Linked DNA regions of Callithrix jacchus. The protein of the gene in region 1 purifies or fractionates together with the protein of each later gene. This does not show direct contact. Links are inferred from orthologs where the notes say so. Each region holds a gene or a part of one and is shown in the gene's direction. Other genes may lie near its edges. The genes, in order: FNDC3A and TENT5C.

Region 1 (3,636 bases):
TATACAAAGACATAATGGGGGAAGCAAAAGTAGACACTATCCCTTTTTGATGGAATGATTTCATTTAAAAATGATTTCTTACATTTGAGGAAAACAGGAAAATGCTTAAGGACTGATTTTGCTTGTTCTCTAGCTGCCCTCGGGCACATGTGCACTCCTTAACTCAGCTGTGAATCCTATAAAGGTCGATCTCACGTCCTCACTTTTCAGATTTCTCCTGCCCCTATGCAACAGACGGTTAAGTACTTTAATGGATAGGTATTTTTAATATGTCATTTGAAAGATAAAATCAGTGACATTCACCGGCTTTCACATCAAAAACAATTCTAACACTAGCCAGTTTTAACACATTTTCTGTCCAGCCTTCTTCACACATAATTCTTCCTTCTAATATTTTATTAACAGATTTACAAAGGTCCCGACCCTTACTTCCGGTATTCCAGCCTTCAGCTGAACTGTGAATATCGTTTCCGTGTATGTGCCATTCGCCAGTGCCAAGACTCTCTGGGACACCAGGACCTTGTAGGTCCCTACAGCACCACAGTGCTCTTCATCTCTCAGAGGACTGAACCACCAGCCAGCACCAACAGAGACACTGTGGAAAGCACAAGGACCCGACGGGCACTGAGTGACGAGCAGTGTGCTGCTGTCATCCTTGTGCTGTTTGCTTTCTTTTCCATTTTGATTGCCTTTATCATTCAGTACTTTGTAATCAAGTGAAAATATAACTTTATTTTTTAACTCTATTACATTTTATTTTGTCATGTACTAAAATTATTTCTGTATTGCTTTTATAAAAAACAGTGGCATTTAGCACTGGCATTGAGACTATAGCACATCATTTTTGCCATTTTCAGTGCTTATATTGTTAGGTAGAGGCTGGCACTTTATTAGAATGCAAGCCACAAAAATATCAATTTTTGTTTTTTTGTTAGGGTGGGTCTTTTCCTTTTCTTTTTTCCTTTCTGTCTCTCTCTTTTTTTTTTTTTAACATGCCTTCTATAGAAAAACTTTCTAAGAGGCAACAATTTAGGAATGGATATTTTGACCAATCGGCATGAGTGTAACAGTGATAACCTGATCTGTTTGTTTTAAAGATTATTACCAAGTGAAAAATTCAGAATGAATAGAATTTACACTAACATCCTATATAAAATGTTAAAGTCTGATGCTGTGAAAGCAATCTAGTGCTATATTTCTACCTCCTCATTTGTCTTAATTATTTGGTAAGTGGGATTATGATGAGTAGCTGGAGGGGCTTAGAAACAAAAACTGGGTGAAAGAGTATGCATGAAGAAAAGCTTTGATAAATGTGGAGTTCTTCATTATAAATATATATTCAGAATTCACAGATAAGTACTTAAAGAAAGCACAGACAGTTTACTTGGCCTAAAAATATTTTGATGTTTACTCAGAAAGTTCCTCTTCAGGTCTTGAGAACATGGAAAAGAACCGAGGGCTTTTAAATACTTTTTTAAAAGTAATCGTAAAAGTAAACTGAATTTCAAACCTATCTGGCTCTGTTTTGTGAACCATTGCACTATATGTACATGTATAAGGGTATACACGTGCATATATGGCACATATATATATATACACACACACACACACATACCAAGTATAGAGATTCATATTACACACATACACTCACTTCGTCTGGTATAGGCTAATTTTGAAGAACTCCCATAAGTTTTTGCTGCTTCTCCCATAACTGCTGCCACCACCATCAGAATTCATAATCAAACCTAACCTTTTTGTTTGGGGCACCAAATCTGAAGACAACATTCATTTGCACCAGTAAACTTCAAGCTGCTTTCTTTCTTGAAAACTAACGTTTAATGTATAATGTCTGTTTGGATACTGTTCCAAATTGTTGGTTGCATGTGGTTAATGTTGCATTAGAGCACTTTGCAATTGCATAATTCATTAATGTTTTGTGAGCTTGCATTTGTGAGCTTTTGGATGATCAGACTGAATTTTGTCAAGTGTCACATTGTACATCTTGCCTAGATGTCCATGACTGCCAGTAATAATACAGTTTATAATGCAACTATCTACAATTCTTTGTTTTAGCACATCTGTTATCTGTAAAACACCTGTGTAACTAGCTTTTTTAATTTATTATTTGAATTTTAGGATAGTGAATCACTAATTTTTAGTTGCTGAAGTTGGCATTTTAGTGATTATTAAGCACTTCTGTCAGTCCTTGAAAAAAGAACGTATGTTTTGTGATTTGAAGATCTCTGAAGAATTTCTTTTATAATAGAATGGGCATGTATTGTAACTGTTTTATGTCAAATGATCTGTGCTGTAGAAAAACATTAACCCTTGTTCAAAAAAGAAATGGATAAACTTGGCCTTTCTAAGTGGTAAGAATGACCTGTCACTATAATATTCTGTATGTTTACATTTTATTTAAATTTAATCTCTTATGTATAGGGTGATAACCTTCCCCCAAAACATCAGTGATTGCGATTGTTTTCTAGAAACTTCTTTAAATTGCCACATTTGGCAGTACAAATGAGTCTGAGTATAATAGCCCAGAGATTTATATATAGTTGAATGTCTAAAACGGTAAAATGTGCCACTGTGTCAAGTTACAGTGGCTTATGTTTTTCATAGTAATTCAAATGAACTTCCTATTTTTGATAGTAAATGTCATTTAATAGTATACTTGCCATTTGAGCCTCACTGCAAAATTAGTGCAGAGGAGAAAACAATTTTTAATGTAATCTTGATTTTACCTCATATACTGTACATTCCAAAAACTCCAAACTTTTTAAAGATTATAGATACACTACCAAACATATCACCTTAAAATTGTGTAAGGCTGAACTTCATACAAATGAAAAAAAATCTCATAAAAATACATAAACTGTGTAGTAAAAGCATCTTTAAAATCCATGGAAAATAAAAGTTGTATCATTCTTTTTTGAGATATGTTTATTGTATTCATATACATTCATTATTTACTGCCTGTTTAAGAAAATGAAATGTTACAGTCCCCCCTCTTTCAGTGAGCTTAAAGCATTTTCCCCAACAGTATACAAATCTTCAACATGAGAGGATGCATATTTATTATATTAAGTCCAGAAAAGAATGAAATTAGAAGTTTTATCCTAGTGACTTGATTTTTATGCAGCTCATGAAAATTTCCATCCCAAGGACTTCCTCCTCAGGACAGGGACTCTGCCTTTTTTTTTTTTTTTTTTTTTTTAATAGGTAAGCTAGCAAATTTGATGTTACACATATTTTACTGCAATAAAAAAAAGATCATTGAAAAATTTACTGCAGAAGCCAATATGGAAGAAGAACTCAATGTTTAAAAAAGCCAACTTTTTTTTAAATCAAGAAATAAGTACACAGCTTCAAACTCAGGGTCTAGGTTGAGGACAATCATATGAGTCCTATTAAAGGATAACCAGTTTTAAGAACACTGTCAGGCAGGCTACCATGAAGCTCTCCTTTACTCCATGCTTAGCTCTTGCAGCCTTCCCAGTAGTGATGAAGGATCACATTTTTGTTCAGCTTTGCCCATTGCTGTCATTCATAACAGATGAATGAAAAGTCCCAGAAGCCTGTTACATTTGGGAAGGTTTTCTTCTGTTTCAGCCTTCAGTGGTTAATTTGCTTGAC
Region 2 (4,293 bases), on another chromosome or scaffold:
TTCTCATGTCAGTTTGCTGAGAATGATGGTTTCCAGCTTCCTCCATGTCCCTGTTAAGGATGTGAACTCATCCTTTTTTATGGCTGCATAGTAGTCCATGGTGTATATGTGCCACATTTTCTTTTTCCAATCTGTCATTGATGGGCATTTGGGTTGGTTCCAAGTCTTTGTTATTGTGAACAGCGCCACTGGGTGTGGTGATCCCAGCTACTCAGGAGGCTGAGGCAGGGGAGTTGCTTGAGCCCAGGGGATCAAGGCTGCAGTGAGCCGTGATCTCACCACTGCACTCCAGCCTTGGCAATAGGGTGAGACTTTGTCTCAAAAAGAATGAAATTCATTTAAATAAGCCTATTTAATCTGCCATATCAAATTTTATCATATCAATATATAATCAGTAGAATTAATATAAAATATATAATCAATATAAAAAAATCTAAATGAGGTCGTTTACATTCCTTTTATCATATTGCGCCCTTGGTATCCAGGATGTGTTTTGCACTGGCAGCGGTGCCTACGTATTGGGAAGCACAGCTCTAGCAAAAGTGTTTCACTCTCAAATTCTCATTCTTCAAGTGTGGGAGGCAAGAGTTAACAACCCAGAGTTACAGAAGGAGAATATGAAGCGGGATATAAGCTCTACAGCGGTAGGGATCTTTGTCTCTTCCTTCCCAGTGTATCACAAGCTCCTGGAGCAGTGCTTAAAACACGGGCATGCACATTTTTGAAAGAGTGATAGGAAAGTCCGTTTCGGCTAACTCACTGACAGTCATTCACCCTCTGCGTCAGACCTGACGCGAAAACGTGGTGTTTGATTCCTAGCCCAGTGCTCATTCTTTTGTTTCCTTATGGTTTCTTAGAGAATAATAATAAGGCAATAGAATTTCAAGGAACTGCTGATAAAATCTTCTGAGACTGGCAGGGGACCAGGACTCAGTTTATCAGCAATTAAATTTTATTAGCAATTAAAATTTGAGTGAAATTGCAAGAGGAAGTCACTTTGAAGTCAAAGGTGTTTGAGCTGTCTAGTGACAGCACATTAATTACTTGATAAATGCTGAACATGGGGAGGAGGTCTGGAACCTGCAACTTGAACGGTAACTCCTCAAGGAAGGACCCATACGGAACGGAAACCGGGACGGAGCTGTGCACGTAGTTAGCACCTGCTCTGAAGTGGAGGTCTGCTCACACTTAGACACTTGTGAATGGGGTGTGTTTATGTGTCTAATGTATGATAAGGGTGGCATTTGAGGAACTAACAGTTGCTTGTCCCTTTCCTGATAAGACCCAGGCAGGGAAACTGCTAGTGATTAGAGAGGACTTTTAGCTGACTGAGACCTTCCTTTTGGACAACTGTTTAAAGCTCTAGGCTGGAGAGTTAGATGGTGAAGTCGCCTGTGGAAGCAGCGTTTGATGAAACCCAGAGGCTGTCGGCTCTTAAAGCTTGCGGATCGTGTGTAAACGGAGTCATTCTTACAGTAAGCAGTCTCCTCCTTGGAATCATTCTGATTTTTCTCAGTCTACGCAATCTCTAAATGAGAAAGGCAGATTCTCTTCGGGGAGCTCTTTAAATGAATTCAGACCGGCAACACCTCTGATTTAGAAAGAAGCATTTGTTGGTGGGGTGGTGGTTACCAAGTAGCAGCAGGGATTATTTCCATTTCAAGTTATATGTGTAGCAGTTAATGCTGACACTTTGGAAAAAAATCAAGGCTTTTATGCCCAGCTTTCATCTGAAGAAGTCTGTGTCCTGACCTTAATATTTCCATTTAGCACGTCACAGTATTCCTTTCAACACTGGACCCTGTGTGGCGTCCCTGTTGTCCTGTCTGGGCCACTGTTTTGATTCTGTTTGCTGTTTTGCAGCCACAGCATTGGTTCCTGCAGCCTTATCTCACCACCCACACTTGCCTCAGCATCCTATTTTCAAAGGTGGGAAAGAGCTTTCTGTTTGCGGTTGTCGTTGTGTGGGTGTCTGTGGACGGAGCCCAGTGACAACCATTCAGACTCTGTTGGCTTCTCGCTTCTCAGTGCTAAGTGGGCATTTATGGAGGCCCCTTAGACCCTAACAGCCGAGATCGCAGCCTGGTTCTGTGGCCTGCCTGGGTTTCAGTCCAGGGCTGCTTTCCACAGCTCGTGCTGCGTCCCAGTTGCTGTGGGAATCGAACCAAATTTTTTGACTCTAGTAAACATCACTGGTAAGTGGCTGGTGGATGATGATAACCTTGAGAAAACAGAGCGAGACTCTGGCTGAACGCGATGGAGCTGAGAGTGAGCAAAGACCGACTGTGGGGTTCAGGGTGTCACTGACTTAGACGTGTTTTCTCTGGGCACAGCTCTGTGGTCTGGGGCAGTCACTTCTCTGAACTCAGGTAGAATGTGATGTGGGCATTTAAGTGGGCAACTGTGAAAGTAACATCTTGGAAAAATAGTGAGCATAGGATATATTTTATTGGCCTTTTAAAAAGTAAAGCATTATTTTATCTGGTGTTATTGCTTCAGGCCATTCATAATCTAAGCTCCTATTCCATGTACGTGAAACACTCGAGTGGCTGCTATCTGTAACCTTTATGTGTTTGGGGCTGTGGCGGAGTCTCCAGAATGTGCCCCCCTCTCCAATTGGGGGGTCTGGCCCTAGGAAGGAGCTGGCAGACAAAAGACTTCTTCAGGCTGTCCCCAAACCCTTCCTTAGATAACTTGTGGCCCTCATCCTCCCTAGGAATTCAGGGAGTAAGAAAGGCTTTTTTTTTTTTTTTTTTTTTTTTTTCAGAAGACCATATTCATGTTGAGCCTAGTTTTTCTCCTTTCTGGACATGCCAAGCAAAATGACCAATGTCTATGGTCATTCACAGCAGCTGGCTCTTTTCTTAAGGTTGAAAGAATCTCCAGGGTCAAACAACACGCAGGTGGGAGAAGTGACAGGTGTCCCGTCTGAGGCTCCGCATTCGTGAGGTCCTGTGTCGCCTCCAGACCCTCTGCTTTCAGTTTTGTTCCAGCTCTCCTTTCTGGGCTAGCCCTTTAAGTCCTGGTCACTCCCTGCAAATTTATCAACCATTTCTCTGTGGCTGCAGTTGGGTCACTGGCTTCTTTGATCTCAGAAGGTTGCGAGTGTCCTGTTCTGTTGCTTCGTCAGCCTATCAACACTCTGATCTCCCAGCCATCAGAGCGAGTCTCAGTAATGGTTCCTTTAGTCCATGAGCAGAAAAAACAGCATGCCTTAGTTTTCCGGATCGGGACAGTCCATTCCTAACAATCTCCTTGGGCCATTAACTTTTCCTCTCACTACTAGTTCAGCACCTTCCACTCTTGGGTTCTCTCGCTCTCCTGGTCTTAGATTCTGGGAAACCACTGCCCTGCAACTTAGCCAGCGTCTCGGAGCTCCCTGGAAAGTTAGGACCCTAGGCCTTCATCTCCTAGCCGTTGCTCCTTTAAAAGAAATATTAGCATAATGGTTAGCATGTCTACACTTAATCATATTCAGTTCTGCTGGCTCCAGCTCCAGCTCCAGCTCCAGCTCGCAGTTTCTGTGCTGACAGTTGTTAGATACTTCAGTTCTAAATCCTTCTCCCTCGTTCTCAGCGTTTGCCATCTGGCCTTACCTCACTCAGGTGGCCTTAGCATGTCTAGCCAAAATTCTTTCCTGCCATCTTATTTTTTTTAAAATTGTTATGCCTTCCTTCCTTTTCTTTCTAGTTAATTGCCATCTCCTTCTGGTGACCACCTAAGCTAACCAGCTCTTCTTCAGGCTCCCGCCCCACCAAAGGTGTCCACCTTTTAGGAAGACTCTTGAATTCCGTGTCTGCTACTCACCAGAAGTGCATCCTTGGACAGTTTACAATTTTCACACACTCTTTGCTCTCCAGTTTCCCCATGGGGGGTTGGGGGGAATGGTATCTCTTTGATAGGGTTGTTACAGGAATCAAATGATTGACCCAGATACAGCCTTGAAAACACTGTTTTGCTCTTACTTGTGATGTTGTAAAATAGTTTGGGGGCTCATTAGGGTACTGGCTAAACCTCTGGTCACATTTGGTGTCTCCTGGCCATGGCCTTGGCTGCTACTATGTGAAGAGCCCTTGGAGGGCGCCGCATGTGTTAATACCTGCCAGGGAAAGGGTGTGGGCAGAACTAGACATTCATGTTATCAGTTGATGTGCACCTGCACTGAGAAGTGGGATTTCCCACACACTGTGGCAATCCATTATCTTCCTTGGTGTCTCTCTGCGGGGCTCCTCTAAGCCACCTGACACCTTTTGCTTAACTGGAATTGAATAAAGGCTGACTCCAGCTTTCTGT

What was found.
Region 2: the proteins of FNDC3A (region 1) and TENT5C purify together in Homo sapiens (affinity purification with western blotting; 3 studies listed by BioGRID, with this or other methods). This does not show direct contact. The link is inferred for Callithrix jacchus from reciprocal best matches to the Homo sapiens genes FNDC3A and TENT5C.

What each region holds. Positions count from the first base shown.
Region 1 is NC_133502.1:66,784,841-66,788,476, reverse strand, and holds the end of FNDC3A (fibronectin type-III domain-containing protein 3A), read left to right. Parts: intron 1-405; coding exon 406-720; 3' UTR 721-2,936; downstream 2,937-3,636. UniProt on the Homo sapiens protein: Mediates spermatid-Sertoli adhesion during spermatogenesis.
Region 2 is NC_133508.1:155,644,246-155,648,538, forward strand, and holds the start of TENT5C (terminal nucleotidyltransferase 5C), read left to right. Parts: upstream 1-1,346; 5' UTR 1,347-1,379; coding exon 1,380-1,475; intron 1,476-4,293. UniProt on the Homo sapiens protein: Catalyzes the transfer of one adenosine molecule from an ATP to an mRNA poly(A) tail bearing a 3'-OH terminal group and enhances mRNA stability and gene expression.